Regions from separate parts of the Mus musculus genome. Here regions 1, 2, 3, 4, 5 and 7 are each reported to be linked to region 6. Evidence: microRNA targets listed by miRTarBase, many of them from high-throughput screens and not tested one by one. Region 6 holds a microRNA gene; each other region holds the end of a gene's coding sequence.

Region 1 (4,064 bases), not on the chromosome of region 6:
AATTCCTATTATTTTAATCCTTGTAGATTTTAAGGTCAGAAGATAATTCTGTGACTATTTTAAACATTCACATGAGACCAACATTTCTCAGAAACCTAAGAGTTAAATAATCACAGTGAGGTGATTTGGTATGTTCCGTGCTGGGATATCTGAAGAAAATTCTAACTTACTTTTTTTGCCCATAAGTAAAATGACTTTAATCATGCCAAGTATCTCAATGCCTGAAATATATAAGTCACATATATTTTTCTGATGTTCTGATTAAATTTTAAAGAGGATGAATGTTGAACTAGTTCAGACCTTGGGTCTTGGTTTCAGCTACCCATGAAAGTTAAGAATATTTAAAAATCGTAATAAATTTTAATTACTCATATTTACACATCTGACGGTAGTGAAACCTAAGAGTCAGCAAAACCTAATATGTTTACAAAGCAAGACACAGGTTGGTGCTGCCAGCCCAGCTGGCTCTTGAGTGCCCTGGGAGATAACCCTGGGCACGCCTGGGAGGATGATCCTGACAGGCTAATTGAAGAGGGATGTCTGTGTTAGCAATGTGCAGGGCCACTCCCTAGGCAGGGGCTCTGGGCCGCGTTAGATGGAGAAAACCTGCCGAGCAGTACCATTGGCTGCTTGCTGTTCCCGGCTGCAGATTTATGAGACCAGCTGTCTGGACCGCCCGCTCTGGGATCCTCAGCTGCAGCCAGAGGAAGCACTCCCCTTTAGGTCCCGTTTGTCAGGGTATTTCATCACAGGACCTGGAGAAGAAACTGAGACAGGCCAGGAAAACCACTTCTGCTAAGAGCTTACTGCAAAGAACTCGTGTTACATACAAAGAAACATTTATTTAGACAAATGAACAGGGTGTGAAGGTAGGTCACACAAAAGCAGGGAAACTTTAGCAACAATGTATAAAATCCCAAACAATGGTGGTACTATATGTTACAGCCCAGGGGATCACAAGCTCTTATTGCTTCCCCTAAAATAACCACATTACAAGAATGTGTCCTAGAAAAAAAAAAAGGCTGCTTATGTGTGTAGCCCCGGGAAAGTAGTTTAAATGAACTGAGTACAGAGATATAACAGATATATTCGTGAAGACTAAATGTGCCCAGATAAAATCGTCTCAAGAATCAGTAAGAGCAGAGGAGCCTGAATTATGTAAATAAAGAGGAAAATGCAATATAAAAATAAAATCCAAAATGAGTGCATTAAGATGGTGAACATTATGGGCATTTTTAAAACCTGCATAATTTCTCCAGCATTTCCAAACAAAAGGAAAAGACTGACTGCCATTTCTTGAACTTGCTTGCTTTTTCATAAATTTTACTCTTCACTATGAGAAGAGTATAGATTGACCCATGGCTGCAGCCGCATATGTAGCAGAGGACAGCCTTGTAGGGCATCAATGGGAGGAGAGGCCCTTGGTCCTGTGAAGGCTCGATGCCCCAGAATGCCAGGGCAGGGATATGGGAGTGGGTGGGTGGGTGGGGGAACACCCTCATAGAAGCAGGGGGAGGGATGGTGGGATTGGGGGTTTCTGGAGGGGAAACCGGGGAAGGGGATAACATTTGAAATGTAAATAAATAAAATATCCAGTAAAAGAAAAAAGAAAAAAGAAACCTCTAGGCTGTATGGTCTATTCAGGCTTGAGCTGTTCATGATGAAGACATACCATGTACAGCCTAGTCCGTTCTAACGGGCAGCAGGATCTAACATCACCTTTGGTTACACGAATTACAGGACATTAGATAGGAATATATAAAAATATAAACATACAGGGTCCCACTCCGAAGTCCTGTGTAGTCCTGGCTGACCTGGAACTCACAGAACTCCACATGGCCACGCCTCCTGAGTGCTGGGATTAAAGCTTCACCGTGACATCAGGCTCAAAGCTGTGTAACTTCCAATTCATCAATTTACCATAATACAACACTTGTATTTTTCAGTCTCATACTAAGAATTCGTTTTTAAATTTAAAAACATTTCATTCTTTTGGTTTTTTATGTGTGGGGGATGGGCACGGTGTACGCGCACTGCAGAGTGTTTGTGGACAACTTGCTGGGGTAGAGGTTCTCACAAAGGTTGCCCAGGGGTCAAAGCTCAAGTCATTGGTCCTGGTGTCACCAGCTGAGCCAGGTTACCTGCCCTGAGTTAACATTAACGTTTTTATTAAAACACGTTGCCAGTCTGCTGAGAATGCCCTGTTGAAGCACCCAACTGTTTATATTAGGTTTGCATTACATTAACCACAATAAAACCGTCAGTCTGCTTATTTAAAATATTTTAGAGGCAACAACCTCTAAGAGGAAAGGTATGAAAAATATAAAAACTTGTACTTTACGGAATGTTTAATAAATCTTCTTTTTGAAAATATACGTTAGTAAATGAGGGAAGCCTTGACTATTGCCACAGCTGTACAATACCTTTCCACATTCCTGCAGGAGTCAGTGGCCTATGCCTCTAACCTCTACACTTGGGAGGTAGATACAGGAGGAGTCTTGGCTACATAATGAGTGGGGCCATCCTGCGTTAAATCTCGATATCTTAAAGTAATTATTTTATGTATGTGTGTGGAGGCATGGGTGTTCGTTCACAGGGGCCCACAGGCCACAAGTGGGTGCTGGGTCCCTTGGAGCTGAAGTAGCGAGAGCCGCCTGCTGTGGGTGGGTGCAGAATCTACACTCCGTGCCTGCTGGACAGGCAGTGTGTCTTCGCCTCTCCAGTGTCCTCAGTTTCCTTGTCTTCAAGAACTCAAAACACACAATAAAAGAATAGATATTACTATAACAAAACAATGAAGCACTCATAAAATCTGCTGTTTGAAAATGTGATCATATTCTTCATAACTACAGAAACCATGTCACTGGACCAGGGTTCCGCAGTCACAGAGAGGCGCTAACGAACAGGCAGGAGAGCATTTTAATTCAAGATACATTCTTTAGTTTATATTCTAGAAAATCACATTTTTGGTACTTTGATACCATGTGGTTGACCACAGAAATAGCTGCCACAGTCCACGGCTACAGGAGCTGAGCTCTGCTGAATACAGGATCTGAAATGAATCACGTCTCACGCTATTTACATTCTGTCAGTGGCCAAAGCAGGAGTTTGTGCATTTACAGATATGTATTAGGACAACGTATTGATTCCCGGGATTTAAGAAACACAGTCACAGCTGAGTACAGCCCACCAGCACCTTCCAGCAGCCATAGGCTCTGCAAACACACAGGACAGCTCGACACTGAACACTTCAAATGTATTCAGAGAATTTCAAAACAACGAACGCCCCCTCCCCGAGTCTAAGCAAAGCAAGTTTGACACTTCTGTGAGACCAGTGGAACCTGCAGCTCAGACTTCAGGATTCTGTCATTAGAATATTGTTTAACTTTTTCATAGGAAAAAGACTAAGGGAAGATCAAATTCAGAAAACTTATTTATCTGAATCCAATCAGATCCATCATTCAGAGACATTAAGACATCTTGCAAAGAACTCAAGAGGTGTATGGGCATTCCTGGTCGGGACAGACACCAACCAGGAAATGATCCTCCCAGGCCGGCCTCACAGTGTCTTAACTGCGTCATCTTCTCTCTTTGTGTCCCTGAGAGTTATATATCCACAGCTTATAACCTGGTCACTGGAGTTGTCAGATTTTAGTTTTTTAAATGTCAGCTCCTCCGGCAGAAGAGACGTGCAGCGCTCGAGGGACTGTTCGATGTCATCGATGGTCCACCTGTCTTCGGGGAGGGCGTGCTGTGCAAGTGTGAAGGGCCCCTGTTTGGTGCGGGTCAGCTCCAGCACGCTGGCACAGGAAGAGAGCTCTACGGTACCCAAAAGGAAAAACGCAAGATGAGCCGCGTGGCGTTCACAATCCACAGTCTTCCAGTCAACAGAACTTCTGACCTCCCAGGGTGCCAGCCCAGCACCAGAGCCCAGAGCCTGAGGTAAGTCACTGCTTCAGCAGGAAAGATGATTTAGGGATGTAAATTTATACCTGTTTTCCTTTCTTGGCATTTGAAGCAAGCCCGGGACATAAATATTCCCACTACCTTGCAAATAGGATAAT
Region 2 (4,064 bases), not on the chromosome of region 6:
ATGAAAGTTTAACATCTAGACATGAATGCAAAAACTATTAAAGGCTTAGAAAAACAGAAATAAATCTTCATGGCTTTGGACGGGCCACAGTTTGTTGACCGTAACATAAAAACCACAAGCAACTCAATAACTGATGATAGACATGACTGGAATTAAAAATGTGCCCTTCAATGTAAAATTTCACAGAATGAGAGAAAAATACAGGTCATTGTTATTTTATAAAGGACTATATGTAGAATATATAAGAAACTCAGATTTTGATATGAACCTAATATAAAAGTCAACAGATAGGAATAGATATTTCTTCAAAGACATATTAAAGACCAGTAAATATATGAAAGCTATTCCCCATCTTTAACCATAAGGAAAATACAACTCAAAATCAGAATGAAATGATACCTCTTACTCCTGGGATGGCAATACTTTAGAAGTCAGTTGAGAGGGGGGAAAAGGAGAAGGAAGAGGAGGAGGAGGAGGAGGAGGAGGAGGAGGAGGAGGAGGAGGAGGAGGAGGAGGAGGAGGAGGAGGAGGAGGAGGAGGAGGAGGAGGAGGAGGAGGAGGAGGAGGAGGAGGGGGGGAGGAGGGGGGGGAGGAGAAAGAGGAGGAGGAGGAGCAGGAGGAGGACGAGGAGGAGGAGCAGGAGGAGGAGGAGGAGGGGGAGCAGGAGGAGGACGAGGAGGAGGAGCAGGAGCAGGAGGAGGACGAGGAGGAGGAGCAGGAGCAGGAGGAGGACGAGGAGGAGGAGGAGGAGGAAGAGGAGGAGGAGGAGGAGGAGGACTGGAGAGACAGGGCAGAGTAAGATCCTTTGCTGCACAAGCCAGATGAGGTGAGGTCCAATACCCAGAGCCCGTGTAAAAAGCCAGATATAGTCGTGCACACCGGAAACCCCAGTGTGAGGAGACAGAACAGGAGGCTCACTGGGGATTGCTGCTGGAGACTGCTGGCCATCAGCCTAGTTCTGGGTCACTAACACACCCTGACTCAGGACTGAAGCCGAGGGACAGAGCCGAACACTCAACATGCTCCTTCATGCTCAAACAGAGGCATGCACCCCCACAACACACACATACAGGTACACATAGACCATACACATACATCATATTCATACACAGACACTACTATATACATGTGCATACACACATAGACACATACTATACACATACTCCAGATAAACACAGACATACATATATACCACATGCAGACACCATATTCACACAGATACCACACACATGCACACACATATACCAGGTACACACACATGTACATATATACCATACACATGCAGTGTATTCACACATAGACAACATACACATATGCACATGCACACACATAAACATTTACGACATGAAGACATCAGACACGTACAAATTCTCATGTACATGTATGCCATATACATATATCATATTCACAGATACCATATATACATGTACGCACACACATATGTATAAATATACCATACGCACACACCATATTCACACACACACACCATTTGGAGAAACACGAATTCTCCTAACTACCAGTGAGAATGCAAAATGCTAACGGCTTAAGAGTCTAAGGCAGACTTACTCCATGGCCCCAGCAGATCCACTGGCATAACCCCAAGAAATGAAAATATACATCTACCCACAAAAAATGTTTGCTGGAGAGATCAGAGCAGTATTCATTACAACGGGCAGAGGAGAAACTGCCCTGATGTCAATCCACTAATGGAGGGATAAACTCTACATTCAATATATCCATGCAAAGGAGTCTTATTTAGCAATGAGTGAGCTGAGCTACCAATATATTACTGATAAAATGTGGGTGAAATCTTAATAATATGGTTATGGAAAGAAGTCCGAAAGGACCTCATTCTGTATGGCTTCGCTTAGAGGGGCTGTGCACTACAGGCGAGTCTACAGAGACAAACCCATTAGCTGGAGTGGATGAGTATGCCTGATGGGGTGCAGGCTTGGGTTCACAAAAATGCCCTAATGTTGACTGCGATGACCGCTTCACAATTCATTGACTATACTAAAAGCTACCGAATTGTGCTCTTTAAGTGCGTAAACTGTATAGAATTCTATCTCAACACTATTAATGTCAAGCCAATGAGTACTTTTTATTTTACCATCGGTCTTAATTCCTCGTGTTATTATAAAAGAAAACCACAGACTGGGCGATGAAGTAAAAGAATAGTGGATTTATTTCTCACAAAGGTCTATCTCAGAAATGCTGCAGATCAGTCCCAGGGCACCCGAAATAACAAAAGCATTACCATCAGCTGCATCACATGACTGGTCTTGTTTGTTTACTTCCTGGTACATATAAAAGTTATGTTTAGGATCAGGAATAAAATTAAGCAGTAAAGTGCTTTCTTAGAAGGAATGAGACCTTGGCTTCAGTTCCAGCACCAAAAGAAGGGAGAAAGATGGAAAAACTCTCTCTACCACTCTGCCATGCCAGGCAGTGGTGGCGCACGCCTTTAATCCCAGCACTCGGGAGGCAGAGGCAGGCGGATTTCTGAGTTTGAGGCCAGCCTGGTCTACAAAGTGAGTTCCAGGTCAGCCCCAGGGCTGTACAGAGAAACCCTGTCTCGAAACCACCCCCCACCCCCACCCCCCCAAAAAAAAACTCACACAGGTTTGGGAAGACACGATCAAGCCACAGTACCACTAGGTAATAAATATTTAAAAACCAATATGCTTTAAGAGAAAGTCTTCCCTACAATGGGATATATGCTAAACTTACTCCCAACTCAGAAAGGCATATCCAAGCCCCACGTACGCAGAGCCCCAGGCACAGGAATGGAGTGATGGCCACAGCATCACAGCAAGGATGTCGCCACAAACAGCATCCTTGAATGTGTTACAATCAACAGGTACAATCAGTCCACCTTTGCTGGTTCAGTGTGCTGGCAAAGGAGATCCGCAATGATCACATGGCATTATCACAAAACATCCAGCAGCCCCTAAAACGGGAGTGTTTTAAGCATACAGCACCTTTTCCCCTAACTGTGTCCCCTGTCAACTGTTCTCACGAGGACAGAGGCTGAAATCATCATGGTTTTCTTGGATTGGGTGATTTTAGAATACCTCCTTTTGAAACTTAGATTTAAAAATAATATAAAAATTTTATTTTGGGTCATGTGCCCAAAATTACAAATGCCCAAAACCATAATGCTGTCTTCTCAGAGTTTGAAGTTTGAAACTTTGAAGCTAAAATGTTCATCTTGTCTTGGGAGGAAAAAAATAATAATTTCTTGATTAATATGAAGTAAACTTTTTTTTTTCTGCTTTGAGGTTTTCAGTGGTGGTGGTGGTGGTGGTGGTATGGGCTGAGCAGGGTCTTACGATGTTGCCCAGGCTGGCCATGAACGCAGATCCTCACATTTCCATCTCCTGATTGCTGGGATCGTTGGCGTCGTCCGCCACACCTGCCGTACCTGTGTCTTGATTGTCGGTGGGTTTAAAAAGCTGTCTGGGAGTGAGAGTATTCAACCTCATATTCTGAAACACAGAGGACACCTGTGGAGATGGCGCTTCAACCTGTTTGAAAATAAAAATGAAGTTACTTTTACAAAAACATCCCCGATCAACCACTCACATGCGCGTGCGTTCCCCATGACCGAGCCTGAGGAAGAAATGATGCGCTCCTCAACAATCCTGTCTGCTCTCTGGAGGATTATGTCTGCCTCTGCCTACTGTGGCATCCCCTGGACCTAGCTAAGGGCCTGACATGGAGAAGTCACTGTGCGTTGCCTAAATACAACCCTCTAAAAGTAGCAATCGGGCTTACTAGATAATTGGGAGCAAGACACAGAATTCAAGGAAGGCTCGCTGTGCAAGCACTAAGAATTTCAAGATGGATGCAAGTCGCTAAGCACAGAGCCAGGCATGAGGTATGGCAGCGCCAGGACCATACTCTTCATGCCTCTGGTGACACCTGAGCAGCAGACACTGGGCCAGTACGATCCTCAGTTGTCACAGGAAAAAAGATAGGAAACACCATACATCTTCCACAGGGTTCTCTATCAGTGCATTTTAGAATCAGACTTTGGTTAAAGCAATCACTTGTACCAACAT
Region 3 (4,064 bases), not on the chromosome of region 6:
GGAATCAGATCTCATTACAGATTGTAAGCCACCATGTGGTTGCTGGAATTTGAACTCAGGACCTCTGGAAAAGCAGTCAGTGATTTTAACCGCTGAGCCATCTCACTAGCCCTAGGTGGCAATTTCTAATAAGTCTCTTGAACCTTCAATGGATGTGCTATAGTGGTCTTTCACATTTCCTGTCCTTCCTAACCATCAAAGACCCCAGGAGTCTCCAATCCAGAGCAGTACCATTATCAACCCTTCACATGTCAGGGATACCCCTGTCCCTCCAGGACACGGTGACACAGATCTGTAATCTTAGCACTTGGAAGGATGGGGCAGAAGTATGGTTGGTTTGAGAGAGAATGAGGGAAGAGGAGGGAGGTACTTTGCTGTGAAGCCATCTGAAGTCGAGCTGTGATGAGTTAGGTACCATCTCTTAAGTCACCAGTCAGGCTAGCTCAGTCCCCAGCTACAAGGCCCTGGCAACAGTCACATCTACCAGCCTTTGTTGTCCTCCAAGCCCCATGCTTCTGGTCTGTAAACTTGGTGGTGGTGACCATGTGGCCACCCCTCACCTCCCCTTTCTCTGTCCCAGTCCAAAGAATCATCTTCTGTACTGAGCTGCGACATCTCCAGGAATAATAAGTACATCGTGACAGGCTCAGGGGACAAGAAGGCCACTGTGTATGAGGTGGTGTACTGAGCCATCTGCTGCCTTTTCAGGTCACCTGCCCTGGATGGCTGGCCACTCGGGACACGGGCCCCTCTGCTCATACCTGGCTTGCTCCCTCCTGGCTGGGTGGGGCTGGGGCACTGGGGAAATATAACACATTTATCAACTTGCTTTCTTTCTGTGTGTGTGTGAAGCGTACAGGTGAGGGACCCGACTGGGTATCAGCCTTCATTTCTCTTTGCCCCAATTTTCAGAGTGTGGATCTCACTAATGAGCCTCACAGACAGGTCAACATGCCCCAGGAATCCTCCTGTCTCTACCTACAGAGCTGGATCAGGGATTTACACTCACTCCTTATCCTGCCTGGTGTGGGCTTTACCAACTGAACCATCTTCCTGGCTCTCTTTAAAACAAAAACTGGGTGGGGCTAGTTTCTTAGTGTAGCACTGGCTGTCCTGAAACTATGTAAACCAGGCTGGTCTGGAACTCAGAAATCCGCCTGCCTCTGTCTCCTGAGTGCTGGGATTAAAGGCAAACACTCAGAAGTTGGAGGGCTCAGAGCTACAAAGTTCTTCCAAAACCTGGGTAAAGGACAAATCTCTGCCATTTCAATTGTTTTATTACACGCAACTCGGGATCTGCACACCCCATGGAAGCCTCTAGAAGCACTGCAGACCCATCACACCCATTGCCATCCACCACTGTGCAGTTAGGGGAGGGGAGTTGAAGTTGTCAGTACTTGATGTGGTACACCGAGGCACAGTCCCTGGATCCTGTGATGATGAGCCTGCCGTTCTCAGTCATGTCGAAGCATCTGACAGGGCCAACCTCGGGGACCTGAGACAGCAGCTGAGTGAGCTCAGTTCCTCTCCACCCAGAGCTTCAGAAATGACCCCTGTGGGGATGATGCTGAGGGTCCCGCTGACAGAGCCCCCAGTGCCCCCTGCACATAAGTACCTGGAACAGTTTTGCTCCGGTGGGCATGCTGTGGACCGTGATGAAGTTGCCCATACCGACGCTCGCCCACCACTTGCCTAGGAGGAGGGGAAGGAAGACAGGGAGGTTACAGCAGACCCCACCCATTCACTAACATCCAGCAGCACCCAGGAGGCTGAGGCAGGAGGACTGAGAGAGTTTGAGATGAGAATGAGTCTAGGCTACATGAGACCTTGCCTCAAAGAACAAGGCAGAACAGCAAAAAGTTTTACTGTTTTGTCTTTTGTTATGTTTTGCCGTCTGAAGCCTTTTATAGCTCAGGATAGCCTTAAGCTCCCCAAGTAGCCAGAGATGACTCTGAACTCCTGATTATGATTATGTTAATAAAAGATGTTGGAGTGTGGACAATACCCAAGCCCTGACTGGGCACTGAGTAAATAGCAGGGTCCTCTGAGAGGCCAGTGGCCACAGTGTGCACCCATCCTCAGTGGACTGGTTTCCCAGACAGGGTTTCTTTGTGGAGTCCTGGCTGTCCTGGAACTCTGTACACCAGGGCTGGTCCTGAACTCAGATCCACCTGCCTCTGCCTCCCCAGTGCTGGAATTAAAGGCGTGTGCCACCATGCCCAGGCTCAGTGGACTCCTTACCATTTGGGGAGAACTTGAGGCCTAAGATGGTGTTGTCCTTGGTGTCCACAGTGAGCACCTGGTCCCTCTTCCTGCTGTTGAACAGGCAGTGCTGGCCATTGGCCAGGCCCAGCAGCAGCCAGTCTTCGGTCGGACTGTGAGCCAGGCTCATGATCTGGGTGAGCCAGGCAGAGGTAGCAATCAGACCCCTGCTGGGCGGCCAGGCTGCAAGGTCCCCGCCCGAACGCCCGCCCACCCAATGACTCACTGACTGGCTGTGGCCCGACTGTGTCTCCACACCTTCCTTCTGTGAGGTGTATGAACTTCACAGGGTTAACTATGGCAGTGACAAGTCTGTCTCCCTGGTTGGTTTTATTGGGACATGGTCTTGCTCCATAGCCTAGGCTGTAGTGACTTGCCACATAGCCCAGGCTGGCCTTGAACTCCAGCATAAAATATTTGCAACGATAGTCTTTGAGACCGGCTTTTATGTAGCCCAGGCTATCCTTCAGGTTCCTGTGTAGCTGATGACCACCTTAAACTTCTGACCCTCCTTCCCCCAGCTCCCTAGTGCTGAGTGACAGGAAAACATTCTACCCCCTAGATCCAGCTCCTTCTCCACTATGTAGCCCAAGATGGACTCACTTTTTCATCCTCTTGCCTCAGCTTGAGTACTGGGACGACAGCCTTCTCCACCATTGTCCAGTATGACAAAAGGTATTTTAAAGACCCCTGTGACTTCTCAAAAATTCCTTGAGCTGACCTGGGCTGTTCCCTCTCCTGACACTGAGTGCACCTTGTCATTGTACCCAAAGGCCCACGCCTGTGCAGCCACCCTTCCTGTGCACCTGGGACTGGAACAGATGCTCCAGTGACACCTTGGCCATCCGCAGGTCCCAGCATCGCAGGCAGGCGTCCAGACCCCCTGTCCAGATGTTGTCATCTTTGACCACAAGGTTCCTGGCCGAATTGGTAGGGCCTTTGAGGTTCCTGGCCAGAAAGCAAAGGGGTAAGCCTAGGCTCGACAGTCCCTAAGATTCCCTCAAAGCCGTGGGACTAACCCAACCTGAGGTACTCTTAACACCTTTGGCAAGAAGGCAACAGTGACATCATCCTAGTCCCTGCCTCTAAAAGGTAATGTTCCAATACCTATAAATCCAGTACTGAGGAAGTTGAGGCAGGAGGATTGCCATGAGTTCCAGGCCAGGCTAGGGTACATAGAGACCCTGCCTCAACAATGAGGGTGATGGAGAAGACCCAAAGCTGGCTGTGGTGACTCACAATTGTCATCCCAGCTACTCGGGATTAAGAGAGGATGATTGCGAGTTAGAGCCATCCTAGGCTTCAGAGCAAGTTCAGCATCATCCCTGAAAACGTCACCTGATCCGACCTTAAGATAAAATCTGAGCAGGGCTTGGCAGCACAAGCCTGTCATCCCAGCACTCTGGAGGCAGAGGCAGGTGGATCACTGAGTTCCAAGGCTAGCCTGGTCTACAGAGTGAGACCCTATGCCAGATAAAATGAATAAAAGTAAAAGTGTTGACCAGATGGCTCCCAGGTCACTCAGTGGGTAGAGGAGAGCCGAGTTCCAAGAACCCACTTAGTGGAAGAACAGGCTCCTGCAGGTTGTCCTGAGCCTCTGTTCTCCCTTGTCCTACAAGAATTACAATGAGCTGGGCAGTGGTGGCACACGCCTTTAATCCCAGCACTTGGGAGGCAGAGGCAGGTGGATCCAGGCCAGCCTGGTCTACAGAGTGAGTTTCAGGACAGCCAGGGCTGCACAGAGAGAAACCCTGTCTCGAAAAACAAAACAAAACAAAGCCCACGAAAAACAAGATTTACGA
Region 4 (4,064 bases), not on the chromosome of region 6:
ACAGAGATCCACCTGCCTCCGCTTCCTGGCTTCGTATTAGTTCTAAATGTATGTATATGCATGTGAGTGCTGAGCCTACAGAGGTGACTGTGAGCAGCCTCGTTTGGATGCTGGGAACCGAACTTGGGTCTCCTGCAAAAGCAAGCAGTAAGACCTCTTTAAGCTCTGAGCCACCTTTCAGGCCCCAATATATGTATTTTTCAAGACGTGTAGCCCATGCTGGCTACCCTCCGGCCTCACCCTACAGAGCCCCTGAACTGACAGGTGTGCATCCATCCCTCTCTGATCTGCCTTGTCTGCCCCCAGACGCGGGAGGAGTGGCAGTACGTGTTCCTCATAGCCTCCCTGGTGCACTACGGCGGTGTCATCTTCTATGGGGTCTTTGCTTCGGGAGAGAAGCAGCCGTGGGCAGAGCCGGAGGAGATGAGCGAGGAGAAGTGTGGCTTTGTTGGCCACGACCAGCTGGCTGGCAGTGACGAAAGTGAAATGGAGGACGAGGCTGAGCCCCCAGGGGCGCCCCCCGCGCCGCCTCCGTCCTACGGGGCCACACACAGCACAGTGCAGCCTCCGAGGCCCCCGCCCCCTGTCCGGGACTACTGACCACGGGCCTCCCACTGTGGGGCAGTTTCCAGGACTTCCACTCCATACACCTCTAGCCTGAGCGGCAGTGTCGAGGAACCCCACTCCTCCCCTGCCTCAGGCTTAAGATGCAAGTCCTCCCTTGTTCCCAGTGCTGTCCGACCAGCCCTCTTTCCCTCTCAACTGCCTCCTGCGGGGGGTGAAGCTGCACACTAGCAGTTTCAAGGATACCCAGACTCCCCTGAAAGTCGTTCTCCGCTTGTTTCTGCCTGTGTGGGCTCAAATCTCCCCTTTGAGGGCTTTATTTGGAGGGACAGTTCAACCTCTTCCTCTCTTGTGGTTTTGAGGTTTCACCCCTTCCCCCAAGACCCCAGGGATTCTCAGGCTACCCCGAGATTATTCAGGTGGTCCCCTACTCAGAAGACTTCATGGTCGTCCTCTATTAGTTTCAAGGCTCGCCTAACCAATTCTACATTTTTCCAAGCTGGTTTAACCTAACCACCAATGCCGCCGTTCCCAGGACTGATTCTCACCAGCGTTTCTGAGGGAAAATGGCGGTTTCAAGTCCCCCCACCCCCCTTTTCTTCCCTCGTCCCCTCACCAGCACACTTTGCCGGGCCTTGACCTTAGCTTAGTACAATCATTGTCCAGGGAAATGGCCAAAATGGCTCTGCTCACCCCGTGCTCTTTTTCTGACTCAGTTTTCAGGTCTCAGTAGTGGCTGCCCAAAGCTATTAATTCAGCGGCTCGAGGCCACCTCTTCCTCCCCGTGGTGGTTTCAGGATCCCCCTCGCCCCCCCCCCCCCAAATCCTTGCACTTTATTCTCCTGGGTGGTTCCAGGCCGCCCTCGGTTTCTCAGTGGCCATTTGTTGTGTGTCCCTCAGGGGCTAAATGATTCCAAATCTGGGGTGCTTCCCCTCATAGACACCCCTCTCTCAACGTAGAAATCTGGGTGGGGGTGAGGTGTGTGAGAGAAGTTACAGAATCCCAGGAAAGGGAGCGGGGCTGGGAGGAGAGGGTTGTTCCTGGGGCAGGGTCGTGTCTTGGTGTCTGTCTCTGTGACGTAAATCCTGCCCTGCCCCACCCCACTCCCAATAAACGCTCTGGTGTACGGATCAGGTGGTCGCGTGGTGTGGGCCCGGTGTGCAGACCCCGGTCTCTTCCTGCTGCCCTACGCTCGACCCCCCAGTTCCCCCTGACTCAGTCGGACCCCAGCCCTCCGCCGCCGCCCGGTCTGCACCTCAGTTTCTCTGCTCCCCGCTGCTCTGGGCTGCGCCTCCCCTCTGCCCCTTCGCCCCGCCGCGCACTGAGGCACAGATTCCAATGGTGGGCGAGGTGGTTTATTGGGAAGTTCTGCCTGGCTCTGGGGTCCCTCTAAGGCATTGAAGCTGGGCCGGGTCTGCGGCGCGGTCCTCAGAAGAAGTTGGGGGACAGTGCGGCGGGCGACAGGGCTTCCAGGCGCTGCGGCCCGCGAGGCGGAGGGGGCAGCTTGGGCGGCAGCGGGGGCGTGGAAGGTGGAGGCTGCGTGGCGATGTGGGAGGGCACCCACGCATCGGGGGCGTAGAAGTAGAGATCCAGCGGGTCCTTCGGGGCATCGAGGTGCAAGACTGCAAGGACGAGGGACTCGTCAGGTGGCTGGCCATGGGAGGGCTTGCAATGTCCGTGCGTGCAGGCGCATGGGGGGGGGGAGGTGGTGGTGGTGGTGGTGGGCGAGCCTCGATGGGGTGTGTGGTACACAATTAGGCGGGGCTTAACTGAGCAGAGAGGGTGTGTGGGTATGGGGGGAATTTAGGCTCAGAGAGGGAGTGTAGTTAGTGTGTGTGTGTGTGTGTGTGTGTGTGTGTGTGTGTGTGTGTGTCTTGGGAATCTGAGCTTTGAGATCCCATCTCAGAGGAGGAGGAAGTGGGAGGAGGAAGAGGAATAATTTCAGATGTAACGGGCTGGGACCAGACCATGGTGGGGTCAGCCTTATACTTACCTTGGACAGGGGTGTGTGTTCTTTAGAAGGGTGTTCTAAGTCCCCTGTAAGGCCTGGATAAGGTCTTTCTCGGGCGAGCAAGCACTCACCTGGTTCATCTCCGCTGTCCCGGAGCCGGTGGTGGGCAAAGGACCTGTGTCTGGAGGCTCGGCGGTAGAGGCACCACAGCAGCAGGAAGATGCCAATCAGCAGCCCTGTCCCCGCGAAGAACAGGCACAGAGCCCCACCGACGGAGCCTCGTGGGCGGCTGACCAGAGTCACCCCTGAGGAACGACACAGCCATCTAACCTGAGCTGAGGACTTTCCTCCCTCAAACACGGGGGTCCAGACCCAGCCCTCATCCCTCAGACCCAGGAGTCCCAGCCTCACTCCCTCACACCAGGGATCCAAACCCAGCCCTTCTCTGTCAGACCCAACTCTCCTCCCTTAGTTCCAGACTCCCCCATTTCATACCCAGGGATTCAGATCTACCCCTCCTCCCTCAGCCCTAGGGCTCCAGTCTCAGCCCTCAGGCCCCTCACCCGTCTCCTTCACTCGCTCCACCACGATGATAGTGTTGACTGTGTCTCCTCGGCTGTGTCTCTGAGGGGCAGGTGCTACCTGATTGGGGTGCTCCAGAGGAGCGGGGGGCCCTGCAATCCTTGCTGAGGGAAGAGGGATATCTGGCCCTTTAGGGTCTGAGTTCTGGGGTACGTGCAGCTCTTTGGTCCCTGGGGAATCTGAGGTGGACAGGCCAGGGGTGGCAACTCGGGTGACTGCAGGGGCTTCTGGGCTGGGACTCAAGCCTGGCTCACTGGGAGTGGTGGCTTCCTCCCTGAAGGTTGTTGGCTGGGTGGGAAGACTAGAGCTGGGTTCCAAGTCAGAGGTCCTAGCCGTTTCTGTTACATTTTGGCTGGGGGATGTGGGGAATTGGGTTTGGGGGACAACAGTGGGATTAGAGTTGTGAGTGGTGAGAAAGACTGACTGTGGACTTTCTGTAGGGTCAGGGTGGGTGGTTGGTTCCAGTGCAGAATTTAGGTGTCTCGTGGCACTGGGGTCGTAGGTCTCTAGGGATTTGGAGCTGAGGAATTGGGTGGGTCTGGGACTTGGTATCTTAGACTCTTCACCAGGTGAGAGTTTGGGGGTATCTCTTTTGGAGATTTCAGGGGATTCATGGTGTAGAGTTGGTGTGGGGTCAGTGTATACAGACTCAGGAGACTCTGGGGGTGAGGTGTTGGAGGGGTTAGGTTTTGGGGTTTCTGGAGAGTCAGACGGGGAAATTCCAGTTGGGTCAGGTTTGGGGGTCTCAGAAGGTTTACCAAGTGTTGCTCTGGAGGGACTCATTTGTGAAGTACCCTGAGATTCTGCTACTGATGTGAGCTGGTCAGGTATGGGAGTCTCTAGAGAAAGAAAGGGGCTGGGGCTAGGGGTCTCCCTTAAGATTTTTGTGGAGATGTGAGGGGAAGCTGAGGGTGGTGTCTCGGAGTGCTCAGGAGGATGGCTTGCAGAGGATCCTGGGGTAGGTTG
Region 5 (4,052 bases), not on the chromosome of region 6:
TGTGGTTCTGGTGGCTTGCAGCTTCCGCAGACGCGGGCTGATTGGCAGAGTGATGTCAGCTGATACAGACTCACACACAAGACCCGAGGTGAGCCCAGGCCCGAGGACACTTGATATTTGGAGGGAGTATATACAGGACTCAACGGATGGTGATGGCCTTACATATCTTCGTTTCACTGAGAGGCACAGCTGAGAACTTCGAGTTCTTCCTGCTTGACTTGTGCTGAGGCCGAGGCCTGGCCATTCCTGCTAGTTATGCCACTGCTGCTGCTATCCTGACACTACTACCGACCTGGACTGCTGGTGTAGCCTTGACATGTTTGCGAGTGGATGGAGCTGCCACTGCTGACCTGTCAACTGAACAGCTGATTTTCTGACAGTGCACACAGGAGTTGCTCCAAAGAACCATTTTTTAAACAGGTCCACTTCCCCCACATCCTTTCTTTTCCACTACCTCTGGTGGGTGGTGGGCTACAAGGGAGGCTAAAGCATTTAAGAACCATTATTACAATTAGGGTTGAGGAAAAAAAAAATCAAAAACTACAGTCCAGTAAATCCTTCTACCTCTTTAACCCTTTAAGTTCACAATAAGAACTACAGTCTCACCAGACAGTGGTGGCACAGCAGGCAGGCGGATCCAGGACAGCCAAGGCAACACGGAAAAATCCTGTCTTAAAAAACCAAAATACCACAAACAGAAAAACAAAACAAAACAAACCCAAACAAGCAAAAACAAACAAACAAAACCCCCCCGAAACCGTCCATCCTGGCCGAGCTGATGACCACAGCAGAACTGTGCAGAGATGGAATGATCTGAAGGCGGGAGAACGAGGGGGGCAGGGGCTGCACTTTTCCTACTTCTGCTTCTCTGTGCCCCCGAGTAGTGACTCATGCTTTTCAAAGGACTGAGATTTTATGTTTGAGTGAGGAAAAGATGGGAACGCTAGGTTTTGTAACGGCGACTCAGCATTAAACCTTCCTTTTTCTTTGAGTCCTCGAGAGGCAACTGCATGGGAAGCAGTGGACTAGCCCTGGCCACAAGCCAGGCTGCTCTCTGGTGCGCCTTACACTACATTTTTACACACGAAAGAATACGAGCCCACGGGCAGAACTAGCTTTATTAGACGGTTTTACAGAAAGACGCCAGATTACTTTCTCTGCTACCTAAGGTACAAGGTACAGCATCCAGATTATTCTAAAACATGCTCGAGCGAAGTCTGTATTCAAGATGAACTTTAAGATGGGTTTTCTCTTAGAGCAAAGGGAGGTGCTCCATGGTACATCTTCTAAATGAACGTTCCTGCAGTGAGCACACCCCCTCCCTGCTGGCGGAGGCCCTGGCTCCCTGGGACACTTTCTGTCTGGGATTTAACGTGCCAACTTGCTTCCAGGAGGCTCTTCCTTCAGTGGCCTCTATGTTCATGCCTGAACTCACGCTGGGCTACCATCCCTAGCCAGTACAGACTTCACACTGCAACGTTCACAGCACCACTGTCTGATATGAGGGAAGTCACAGCTGAACATGGATAGAGTCCCATAACTAGACTGCTTACTGTGAGAAGATGAGAAATTCAGCAAGTGTTAACTTCCTGGCAGATATATACATAGAAAACTCAGTCCTAACTGGGATCAGGCTTTGACGTCCAACTTGAATGGCAATGGTGCCAGCCTTGTAGTGTGAATTCTGGTCTCTCTGCCCCTGACCTGGCCTTCCTGTGCCCGACTTTCACCATCTCCCTTCACTTCCGGCATTTTGGCAATTCCAGGCTGGTTTTGCCAAGGAGGCAACTGAATATACCAGAGCAAAGCATGTACAGTCTCACGAGGATTATACATGTGAAAGAACACAGAAAAGGACTACCCAGTATAAAAATATAAATGATAACACATCAGCAAGTAGAATATAAACAACCTTCTGAGAGTAAAAGGTGAAACTGCATCCAACTAAGTGCATATCAACTCCTCCTAGGCACTGTGTGGTAACCGCTATAAATGATCTGGGTGCCCATGCTCTGAAACTTCAACCCTTTTCCTGTGAGCACACTTAGTGATCAGCCTCTAACGGCGCTCAGCCAATTCCTGTCTGCCCAGTGTCTACCTTTAGCCCCCACCTCCATGTCACACTGGGAAGTTAGGCACAAATACATTAATGGCTTTAGTGCTAAACACTGGATGCCTAGGCTATTCCTTAATAAAGCAACTAGAAGGAATAGGTTTAAGATAGTCCTAAGTCGTGTAAAAACTCTACCTCATAAATGGCAGATATTAAAAAGACCTGGTTGGGTGTGTGACAGCACACATCCACAGTCCCAGACAGTCAGGAAGCTGGGCCAGGAGGATCACGAGAGCCTAGATGACATAATGAGCCGGGCGGAGGAGCAGCTCAGCGGTAGAGTGAATGTCTAGCATGCACAGGGCTGTGGGTTCAAAGCCCACCCTGCAAACTAGCAGGACCCTTCCAGCTTCCTCAGCTCTGTAGGAGGACTTCTGTCATTGTGGTGGTCGCTGACATGGTTGGGATGTGTGTTCTGGGACTGCATGAGGCTCTGGGAAATGCCACCCTTCAACAAACACCCTGCTATTCTTGAAAATCAAAACAAGGTGGAGTCAATTAAAGTAATTTAAAGTTGAAGACATTCTGGATAAAGTGCTTCCTCAACCAGTCTCTAGAATCATCTGTCCCTGGTGTGGTTATGTGTGTTCAGAAAAATGTCAACAACTTAAGTCTTTAAAAACAGCAATCTTCGTAAGTGGAGCAGTGGTGGTGCACTGCCTTTCATCCCGGTACTCTGGAGGCAGAGGCAGAGGCAGAGGCAGACAGATCTCTGAGTTTGAGGCCAGCCTGGTCCACTATAGGGTGGATGAAATTGACTCGGAAAGACATTTTCAATAATAAGCAGTTTCTTGGGAGGCTGTAGGTGACTATAAGAAAGCGGGTGCTTCTATGTTGCTTCTCTTTAAAGTTTATCCTCTTCCTCAGTAGTAACCGGCATCGATACCAACAGCAAGGAGCAGGCCATGCTTCTCTGACAGACCCAGAAACGAGCCACCCCTCCATTCTTTCGTCTTCTAGATGACATAATCTGGACACTGTGCCACAGGGCACTTTTAAATGATGCTGCTGGCCTTCTCGCTGGCATCTGGATGGTCAGTCTCATCAAAACCAGCCCAGCTGAACGATGCCATGACATTGTGGCTCATTTAAATCCCCCGTTTTCTATGTAGCAAACCAACAGCTTTATAAACTCAGACACACTTTGTTTTCGGCAGTGCAAACATTCTGAAAGAGCACAGAGTCCTCCAGCTATAGAGGATAAAGTCAGTTCATGTAGTGCTTGAAGGAGAATTCCAGCTACTCTGGAATGGAGACGGCCCAGGTGTGACTTTGTCCTTAGAGGCAATGCCTATCTTCAGGGAGTGAGGACTGTTTCTCATCTGAAGCCACTCGTCTTTAGCTTTATTTTGCAGTTCCTGCTGAAGTTCAGGAGCCAGTCCTTCACTGCGGCATGTAGCCACCTTGTCTTACAGTCTGTGGCAAGTAACTTTTGGGAATTTCTTCATCAATTGTGGTCTCCATTCCAACAGATTCAAATCTCTCCATCTGTCCATCAGCCCCCGTGCCAAGAGCATCCGCTGTAGAGCCTTCCTGAAACAGCCTCCGTTGCTCGGATCCATAGGGCTGAGAAATGTGATCTGAAACCTGCTGCTGCTTCAGTCTGACAAAATCCTCCTCATTGCCGGACAAAACCTGGTTTGACCTTTCAAAATGTGAAATCTCTGGACAGGCTTCAGGCTGACTGCAGTTCTGCTTGAAATACGGTTGCCTGGGCAAGATCTCATCCCCACCGTCTACACTATCCACCAGCTGCAGGTCTTCTGGCCGCTCCTCCGAGTCTAGCAGGGGCTGGGTGGACTCGGACCTTGAGAACACTTGCACGGACGGGACCTGGTGCCTGTAGCCGCTGTGCACCACAGTGGAGTACTGCACCGTGCTGGCGGTGCTCTGAGCAGACTCATTCTCCTCGTTGCTGGAGATGCTGGGCCTGGAGGAG
Region 6 (4,064 bases):
ATGTACATACCCCAACAAACACACACCTATAATTAAAAATAAAGAGAGGTTGCTTGGCAGCTAAGAGTACTTTAGGAGGATCATGGTTCAGTTCTCAGCACTCACATGGAACTCTAGTTCCAAGGGATCTGACTCTCTTCTCACCTCTGCAGGCCCACACATACACATAGGCACACACATATACACACAGGCACACACACATACACACAGGCACACACACACATACAAGCCAACAAAACACTTATACATACAGCATGAATACAAAAAATAAATCTTTTAAAACTTTCTAGGTCACCCTCGACCACAAAGGGAATTTCAGGCCAATATGGGATATACGAAGCCACGGTTTTATCTTTTTTTTTTTTTTTTTTTGGTTTTTCGAGACAGGGTTTCTCTTTATAGCCCTGGCTGTTCTGGAACTCACTTTGTAGACCAGGCTGGCCTCGAACTCAGAAATCCACCTGCCTCTGCCTCCCGAGTGCTGGGATTAAAGGCGTGCGCCACCACGCCCGGCCTTTTTTCTATCTTTTTTTTTTTTTTTTTAAGCCACGGTTTTAAAAGAAACAAGCAAAGATGGTCACCAGAACACTTGCCAGGTCCTTGATCCTTCAACACCACCATTGGTATTTCTTTTTTTAAAATTATCCTTATTTCAATTTATGTGAATATGTGTGCATTTTGTGCGAATGGGTGCCATGTATGTTGAGATTTTCCTGGAGGAGAGAAGTGGACAATGGCTCTCCTGGACATAAGCAGTTGTGAGCCTCCCATGTAGATGCCCGGAACTGAACTCGGGTCATTTGCAAGAATAGCAAGCACTCCTTACCCTAAACCATCCCTCCAGCCACCCCTAGTATGTTTACACTATTGTTTATATCCCTAGAGCAGGAAATACAACTTCATAGCACCTCGGTCTAGCAGCTCCCTGAACACAGAATGGTTTTGGTGCCTATAAAAACTGACATCTGGATACCAGAGTGGAGTCTGTGGGCCGGTGAGCAACATTTTGCGTTCTCACCACCAGGGGGCAGTAGGGCCCTGGCCTCCAAGCCCGGGTCCGCAGTCAGTCCAGAACAAGGAGACCAGAGCGCGTTTTGAATTCCAACATTCCGGCGGGATCCTTGGGTGGCTTTTCCAAACGTTCTTCACCTGCCAGCCTCCGCCCACCCAGACTAAGGAGGACCCAGTAGAAAATAGCTTGCACTGAAGCCCAGGTAAAGGGAGGAGGAGTTTATTTTATGTTTCACTCATAGGTTTTGCAGGGTTTCCAAGGAAGACTAGAGAATTTTATGGAGAAAGGTGGTTAATTCCATAGTCAGTATCAAAGATGGGCTGGATTTCAAGTTGCCATTAAAGAAAGCTAGCCCTTCCCTCTCTAGGCCTTCTGCTGATCTGGAGAGTAACCCTACCCTGGTTCTCCAAAGGGTATGTTACTTCTGTCCGCAGGTCCCAACCTTCATAGACCTCAGGGTCTGCGCTCCTAGAAGGAAAAGGGGAAGAGAAAGAACACCCTCAGGGAGAAGTTTGGCCTCTAGGCCTCCACCTCCTCTTCACTCTCTGGATCGCGTCTAGGACTTTTGAGTTTGGGTTAGAGTGGCGCTCCAGGGGACCAAGAGGCACCTTCTCCCTCCACCCCAGTGCCCAGGTGCTGCAGGGAGGGCTGGGAGACCGACAAGCATCGGAAAGGGAGTCTCCCACCTTCTCAGAGGCCCGTCTCCGCGGAGGCCAGATCACCGACAATTTTCCATCTCCCCTGCTCGCTGTGGGGGAAGGAACACTCAGCCGCGACTGCCCCTCCTCTTGCCAGCTGGAGGATGGCCGCACCCCTTATATACATACAGGTGTGCACCCCTCTTCCCCATGAAGGCCTCCACCCAGTTCTGAGGACCCAGGAACAGGAATGAGGCAAACTCAATGTAGAGAGGCACCCGAGTACTACAGAGGACCCGAGAACGCCAGAAGTCAAGGTTCCAAGGTCTGATGGATGTGGGGATCCTCACTCCAGGAGTGGGAGTGAAGAAAAGAAGGTGAACCCCCAGGAGAATAGTTAAGGGTCTGCAAGCCTACAGATGAATGATCACTGGAGGTGGAGACAGCTGGAGCTCTAGGGCCCAGGGGGACCGCTTACGGGTGAGGCTCGGCGCTGGCTCCTGGACCTCGGCGTCGCCGTAGATGCTGCGCCGCTGCAACTGCAGCTCCCGCTCGCGCTCGCGCACTCGTCGCACCTCCTGCTCCAGCAGTGACGGGGCAACGAGCGGTGGCAACTGCCCCAGTACCGGACAGCCGTCCTGAACGGCGGGGTGCAGCCGGCCTCCGGTCTCTGGCTGCCTCTGCAAGCCAGCGCCGTCCTCCGCCGCAGCCTCAAAGAAGCGCTTGAGTTCGTCCAGCGGCTGCGGCCGCCGCCGGGCGCTAGGCTCCGGAACCGCGGGGCTCGCCAGCGCCGCCTGCCTGTGAGCCTCGCGTTCGATGTCCCGTTGCATCTTCGCGCCCGCCCGAGCGCGCTCCAGGGCGCGCGGCAGCGGAGTACCGGAGCCGGGCCGACTGAGCACCGGCCGCACGCGCAACTCAATGAGTTCCTCGCCCGCGCGACCGGGACTCAGACCCCGGCTCCGGCGCAGGCTTTCCTCCCGCTCGCAGCTGCGGCGGATTTCGCGCTGGATGGGCGTCTCCATCTGCAATTCCGCCGGCGCCGGTTTGGATGCCGCGGGCTTCGGTAGAAAACACACCTGGAGGCCTCTGAGCCGAGACAGGGGCACAACTGCCCCAGTACCTCCGTTATACTAGTGCCAGGCGGCCCAGCTGTGGACCGCCCGGGCGCTCGGTCCGGTGCTCAACTGGCACCTGCGGGACCTGGCTCTCTGGCTCCAGAGTCTGCAAGTGCTCCTCTCCAGAGGTTTCCAGGACCTCACTGCCTCCCCCAGCAGCCCTCGGTGCCCTGGCTCTGCGGCTCCCGGAACACGTAGCCTTCAGGCGACCCCAGGACTCCACTCTCGGACACCCGAGGACATGGATGTTTGGAGTTAGGCGCCCTTTGAAAATTTTAGTTCTCAGAGCCGAATTGAGATGCCCAAATAGGTAGGACACGGTGCCCTGTGCAGTACCTGTAGTTACAGCCGCCGCCCGAGGTTCATAGGCGTCGCCAGCACTCTTCTTTGACCCGCCTCTGGCCTCCAGGAACATCCCCTGGGGGCAGGACTGGGCACCGCCCCCGTCACCTGCCAGCTGGATTCGAGTGGCCCTGGACCCGCCCTATGGGCCAGGGCGCCTCCACTGCTCTCCGGATTCCCGCCACCTGAACACACGGGTTGACTGAAGGGGTGGCTTCTTCGGAAAGGGCTTCCCTGAACTCACTACCCAGGGGGTATGTGTCGCCCTTTCCCTCTGGTACCACGCTGGCATTCTGGGGTCTTTTTTTTTTTTTTTTTTTTTTTTCATCACTTTCCGGAGACCTGACCTCTAGCGGAGCGCCGCGCTGATCGCTGAACCACGGCCTCCTTACAGAGTGTTTCCCCGGTCGTCTTTCGCTGACCTCACTAGTCTAGGTCAGCAAGTGCCAGCCTGCGGCCAGCGACACCACTCTCCTTCCCCCCGCCCCCTATCCCGTGATCTCCGGGCCTTCTCTGCACACTGATCGCTGAGGCAACACAGCTCGAGTCCAGCCCGAGGGTCGCCCGGGGCCGCCGCACTGGGTGCTGCTGCTACCCGGGGCTGCTCAGCTCTGTCTGGTTTGCAGCGGCGCTGCCGCCACTCAAAACCCTGGGGCAGATTCCCCACCCCCACCTTCCAGAAAAGCCCGCAAGGCATTGGCAGCCAAGTGTCCAGCTAGAATGAGCGGTGTTTGAGGGCACAGACATTACAGGACTTCCGGGCCTCAGCCGAGCAATTGTGGCTGGAAGGCGGTCAGCTTGGACCAGTTTGCCCAGGAGGCCCAAGATGGGGCAGAGGAGCCACCGGGTTAGCGGGAGGCAGTAGCGACCTTTGTCTGGTGCCCGATCTGTGTTTCGGGACAGGGTCGATGACCCAGAGTGAGGGCTAACCACTCGTAGAGACATTTCCACTCGCCC
Region 7 (4,052 bases), not on the chromosome of region 6:
GCCTCCAGGCTTTACGGCCGCCCACGGCGCGGCGCGGCCTCCGCCGTAAAGCGGCCGCTGCGGAGGCGTGGCCGGAGCCTGCTGCAGGGGCGGGGACAGTTGCTCTACGGTCCGCTAGAGGGCGGGAACGCCCCCAAACACCGTGGCTTAGCAAAGAGCCACAACGGGAGGCACAAAGCCAGAGGGTAGCCAAATAATGCAGTCCTGCAAGTTCACTGGGGCCCGCGTCAGGGCCCTTGCCTCGGATCACCTACCTGTTGAGCAGAGGTTGCTCTGGTGCAAGGCTTGTATGCAGCACTTGCCCTGGCACCGTTTTGTGACAGCACTTGAGAGCACCACCCGTATAGCACGGGGTTTCAGGAGTAGGGTGGCACAGCACACCATTCAGTCCCTTGATAGGGAAAAAGGTGCTTCAGGCCAGCCATCCAGAAGAGCCTTTGCTCCACTCATGAACGCGGCAGGATGTGATTCTACAGCAGAGGATGCTGAAAACCCTAATGAGCTGGGTCTAAGGGAAACCACATTTTCTTCAATGACAGCTCTTCTTGGGGCTCCCTGAGGGAGCAGGCGGAGAATCCTACCCTGGAATGAGGCTCCAAGTACAAGATGAAATACTACTCTTCCAGAGCACTCATCAGAAACTAGACACCACTGCCTATGCTTCTGAAGTGGCAGCTACTCGGAGGGCTGAAGGCAGGAATACTTGAGTTCGGAGCCAGCGCAGGCAACCTTGACTCTTAAAAGAACGTTCATCTGAAAATTACAGCGGACAAATCTACAAAGGTGTGTGGGGTCACAACCAGGCACAAAACGTCCTGTGAACTTAGAGAGCATAGTGTAACCCTAGTGTAGATGTCAGAACAACATCCTGGGGCTGGAGAGACGGCTCAGCCGTAAGAGCACACGCTGTACTTGCAGAAGACCCAAGTTTGATTCCCAGCATCCACATAGGGAAGCTCACAACCCCCAACAGCTCCAGGGGCTCCTACATCTTTTACTAAGGTATTTATGTGTACAAAAGCATACGATTAAATAAATAAAAGCTGTGTGGTGGTATACACCTTTAATCCCAGCACTCAGGAGGCAGAGGCAGGTGGATCTGAGTTCAAGGCCAGGCTGGTCTACAAAGCTAGTTCTACAACAGCAACGCTTATGAAAACAAAACAAAACAAAAAACAAAAAGCTCTGTCTGGAACTGGACACCCCCCAGCCCCAAATATTTATTTCTTAGGCTTTATAGTTGTAGCCTGTCTGTGCTTCCAGAGTACTGGGAATAAAGGCACAGACCACTATGCCCAGCTGTAAATTAAGTGAAAACAAAAAAACAAAAACCAACTTTAACCCAAGGGTGAAGCCTGGACCTATTTTATCATTTCTGAGTGGTCTCTGAAACAGATCTGAGCCCAAGCCCCAGGCTGCTCTGAAGACACCTTGAGTGGAAACAAGTGGGAGATGAATTCTTTGCAGCATCGGAGTCACCTCCAGGGTTGGAAGCATCGTCAGTTTATCTTCTGCACACCAGGTTCTAACACTCAGGACTGTCCTTACAAGGCAACACATCCATGCCACACCGGTGGACTGTGGTTCTGGGCACAGGAACAATGCACTGGGAGCAGGACAATCGCTTCAGGTGCTTTTATTAGGTTCCACTGCAGGGCTGGGGTCAGAAAAATACTCATCCACACCCAGCCAGTGCATACCTGTGAGCCCAAGCAGAGCAGAAGCGGGAGCACCCATGCCCCAGGAGCAGGCTGATCAGAGCAAGGCCAGGGCTAGACCCATCTCTGAGCCTGAAGAGGACCATGGCAGCCACTGGGTTCACTTGGGTGGGTGTGCTCACAAGCACCTCTTTTTGGGCTGTAGTGCCTGATGACAGTAGGGATTAGAGGTGGGACCAGGGCCACCTCCATGTAGAAGGAGGTAGCTGAGCTGCCCGGGTCTGAACCTTCTGTAGGGCTCACCCCAAGGTGGTAGCTTTAGCTTGACTCTCTTTGGACAATAAAATAAAGTGCATTACTGAACAAAGAGTAACTCAAAACCATAAGCAGAGAAACCACAAAAATTTCTTTAGCTATAAGTCAGAGAAAACAAGAATTATGTGGATGCCAGAACATGAGAACGTAATTAACTTTGTAGACAAAGATGAATGGGGGACAAGCAGTGGCAAACAGGTCTCCAGCGTCTGTGCTGCCCAGCACCTGCCCAGCATGTAATGGTGCTAGTGTGATTGGCATCAGAAACATAGCTAAGTCACAGACAGAAATGCCAGACTCAGGGACCAGAAAAAACAAAAAACAAAAAACCGAAAGGTGAAGCCCTAGCCAGAGACACTACCAGCCCTCAGCACTCTCTCTCTCTCTCTCTACTGCTGGCAGGTAGCTGGAGAGATCACTTGCCTTGCTCTCTACCACTGCTAACCCCTCAGGATGACCCTGTCAATACCAAACCAAGCCCAATGGCTCCACAGTCCCAGGGCTTTAGCTTCAGATCTCATGCCAGGTGAGACCCAACGGTGCTGGCCAGCCCTGCCACACGATAGATAACCTAGCAATAAGTGTTCTGTCCACAGGGCCAGAGATGCAGAAGGGAACATTGGTGCATTCTACTAAGGTGACAAACATGGCTCCCAGCAGTCCACAGCTGGCATGGACTTTCCCAGGGTGAAGGACAGCTGACTCAGCTCTCATTAAGGCAACGAGGCATCACGACATCCATCTCTTACCTGGGTAAGGGCTGTCACAACACAGCCACATAGGACCCTTAGGGACTGTTTCTATTTGCCTCACAGTGGTCAAATGGGCACCTTTTCTAGGCTTTCTCAACTGCCACACACTGTGCAAGAAGACCACAGTGTGGGGACTCGCTGGGTAAAGGTACAGTGCTAGGAGAGGGGACCAGAACTCCAGGGCTGTCCAGACTTGAAGGGGCTGACTGCCAGGCAAGAGCCACCACTGCTCTGATGAACCACCCATGCTACCAACTGCCACTGTCTGCAGCGTGGCAGGAAAGTCTCAGGCACTGAGGTTTGCTTCTGAGGAGAAATGATGGTGGCCTCCTGCCCAATAAACCACCCAAGAGGGGCTGCACTGAAGGAGGAAGGAGCAGAGGTAAATCTCTCACTCCCATCTGTGCAGTTTTATCTTTAAAAAACAATAAATAAAAGTTTCCTGGGTGGGAATTATTGATAACTGCTGATTTCAGGCAAGTAAAGGTCAGGGACCTACTATACTGCATGTCAGACAAAGGCTGCCACACCCTAGCCACACATGCTCCCAAAGGAGGGACACAGCCCCACAGCAAGGGAACAGAGACAGCCAGGAACATTCATCCGAACACTGGGGGAGAAGGTGGGAAGGCAGAAAACAAAGATCATAGAGGAAGGAGAGATAGCTGGGTGACAGCAGCACCCTCTCTGTACACCCCAATTTCAGGTGATTGGCTGGACGTGTTCAGTCCCTCCAACACGTGAGGCGTGTGGGGAGCTCTTGGGCAGGTCTGCTCTGCCTTCCCAGGTGGGAGGCTCTGTTCAACCCCAGCACAGCAGCCGAGGTTCTTTCTCTTCAAGATCTGCACGGAGACGCTTCAGGGTATCTGGAATACCAGGGCAGCTGGCCCCACTGTTTCAGGGCTGTGGGCTTCAGGCCTTATAGGGAACATGTGGCGCTCCAGACTTCAGAGGGCTGGGCTGGCCCAGTCCCATGCAGCAGAGGCCCAGAGCCCTAGGTCCGGGGGAGGCTGCACATCTCGCAGTGGCCTGTGCCAGGTTGGTTCATGAAGGTGCAGTGCTGACAGGCCCACATGGCAGAGGTAGCAGCGCGTGCAGAGCCCCCGACTGCACCAAACTCGTGGAGGCCTGGGAGCTGCACACCAACGGTGCCTGTAGGGTAAAGTGAGAACACGTCATGCCTGCACAGAAAAAGACATCTCCTTAGAGCCAGATGGCAGGGCAGGGTGGCTCAAAGCCCCTACTGCGTAAGCCCAAACTGTCAGCACATCAAGTGTTCTGGCTCCAGTCAGCAAACACCTTCCTACTTGCACTTGAAGTCTGCTCC

The links. Region 6 holds the annotated microRNA mmu-miR-1199-5p (UCUGAGUCCCGGUCGCGCGG, at 2,582-2,601, opposite strand). A microRNA usually pairs through its seed, bases 2 to 8, with sites in the 3' UTR of a target mRNA and lowers its output. Matches are read on the target gene's strand: a 7mer-m8 pairs with bases 2 to 8, a 7mer-A1 pairs with bases 2 to 7 and ends in A, and an 8mer does both.
Region 1: the mRNA of Trub1 is a reported target of mmu-miR-1199-5p. The part of its 3' UTR that is shown has no 7-base or 8-base seed match.
Region 2: the mRNA of Helb is a reported target of mmu-miR-1199-5p. Seed matches in the 3' UTR shown: 7mer-A1 at 2,502-2,508.
Region 3: the mRNA of Tle2 is a reported target of mmu-miR-1199-5p. Seed matches in the 3' UTR shown: 7mer-A1 at 1,144-1,150.
Region 4: miRTarBase lists Slc17a7 as a target of mmu-miR-1199-5p. Seed matches in the 3' UTR shown: 7mer-A1 at 994-1,000 and 7mer-m8 at 1,274-1,280.
Region 5: the mRNA of Il6st is a reported target of mmu-miR-1199-5p. Seed matches in the 3' UTR shown: 7mer-A1 at 2,825-2,831.
Region 7: the mRNA of Nploc4 is a reported target of mmu-miR-1199-5p. Seed matches in the 3' UTR shown: 7mer-A1 at 1,375-1,381 and 7mer-A1 at 1,099-1,105.

What each region holds. Positions count from the first base shown.
Region 1 is chr19:57,487,764-57,491,827 of GRCm38, reverse strand. Trub1 (TruB pseudouridine (psi) synthase family member 1) reads right to left here. Exons shown (of 8, transcript NM_028115.3): 8 at 823-3,819. The coding sequence ends at 3,560. Among named protein-coding and RNA genes, the nearest start is that of 6720468P15Rik, 19 kb to the left of the region's middle.
Region 2 is chr10:120,081,447-120,085,510 of GRCm38, forward strand. Helb (helicase (DNA) B) reads right to left here. Exons shown (of 13, transcript NM_080446.2): 13 at 2,162-3,527. The coding sequence ends at 3,366. It also overlaps a transcript of Grip1 not described here. Among named protein-coding and RNA genes, the nearest start is that of Helb, 29 kb to the right of the region's middle.
Region 3 is chr10:81,589,645-81,593,708 of GRCm38, forward strand. Tle2 (transducin-like enhancer of split 2) reads left to right here. Exons shown (of 21, transcript NM_019725.2): 20 at 581-708; 21 at 913-1,201. The coding sequence ends at 688. It overlaps Tle6 (transducin-like enhancer of split 6), which reads right to left. Exons shown (of 14, transcript NM_053254.2): 11 at 3,069-3,210; 12 at 2,242-2,395; 13 at 1,616-1,692; 14 at 1,261-1,495. The coding sequence ends at 1,391. Among named protein-coding and RNA genes, the nearest start is that of Gm32024, 2.9 kb to the right of the region's middle.
Region 4 is chr7:45,174,445-45,178,508 of GRCm38, forward strand. It overlaps Slc17a7 (solute carrier family 17 (sodium-dependent inorganic phosphate cotransporter), member 7), which reads left to right. Exons shown (of 12, transcript NM_182993.2): 12 at 307-1,695. The coding sequence ends at 600. Gfy (golgi-associated olfactory signaling regulator) reads right to left here. Exons shown (of 5, transcript NM_001195255.1): 3 at 3,080-4,064; 4 at 2,648-2,821; 5 at 1,905-2,187. The coding sequence ends at 1,994. Among named protein-coding and RNA genes, the nearest start is that of Gfy, 3.1 kb to the right of the region's middle.
Region 5 is chr13:112,503,890-112,507,941 of GRCm38, reverse strand. It overlaps Il6st (interleukin 6 signal transducer), which reads right to left. Exons shown (of 17, transcript NM_010560.3): 17 at 1,082-4,052. The coding sequence ends at 3,497. Among named protein-coding and RNA genes, the nearest start is that of Il6st, 42 kb to the right of the region's middle.
Region 6 is chr8:84,009,013-84,013,076 of GRCm38, forward strand. It overlaps Mir1199 (microRNA 1199), which reads right to left and starts at 2,621; the gene lies at 2,503-2,621. Misp3 (MISP family member 3) reads right to left here and starts at 2,708. Exons shown (of 3, transcript NM_001291292.1): 1 at 2,129-2,708; 2 at 1,699-1,760; 3 at 1,216-1,480. The coding sequence starts at 2,672. The coding sequence ends at 1,466.
Region 7 is chr11:120,378,750-120,382,801 of GRCm38, forward strand. Nploc4 (NPL4 homolog, ubiquitin recognition factor) reads right to left here. Exons shown (of 17, transcript NM_001195023.1): 17 at 1,049-3,877. The coding sequence ends at 3,720. Among named protein-coding and RNA genes, the nearest start is that of Faap100, 2.0 kb to the left of the region's middle.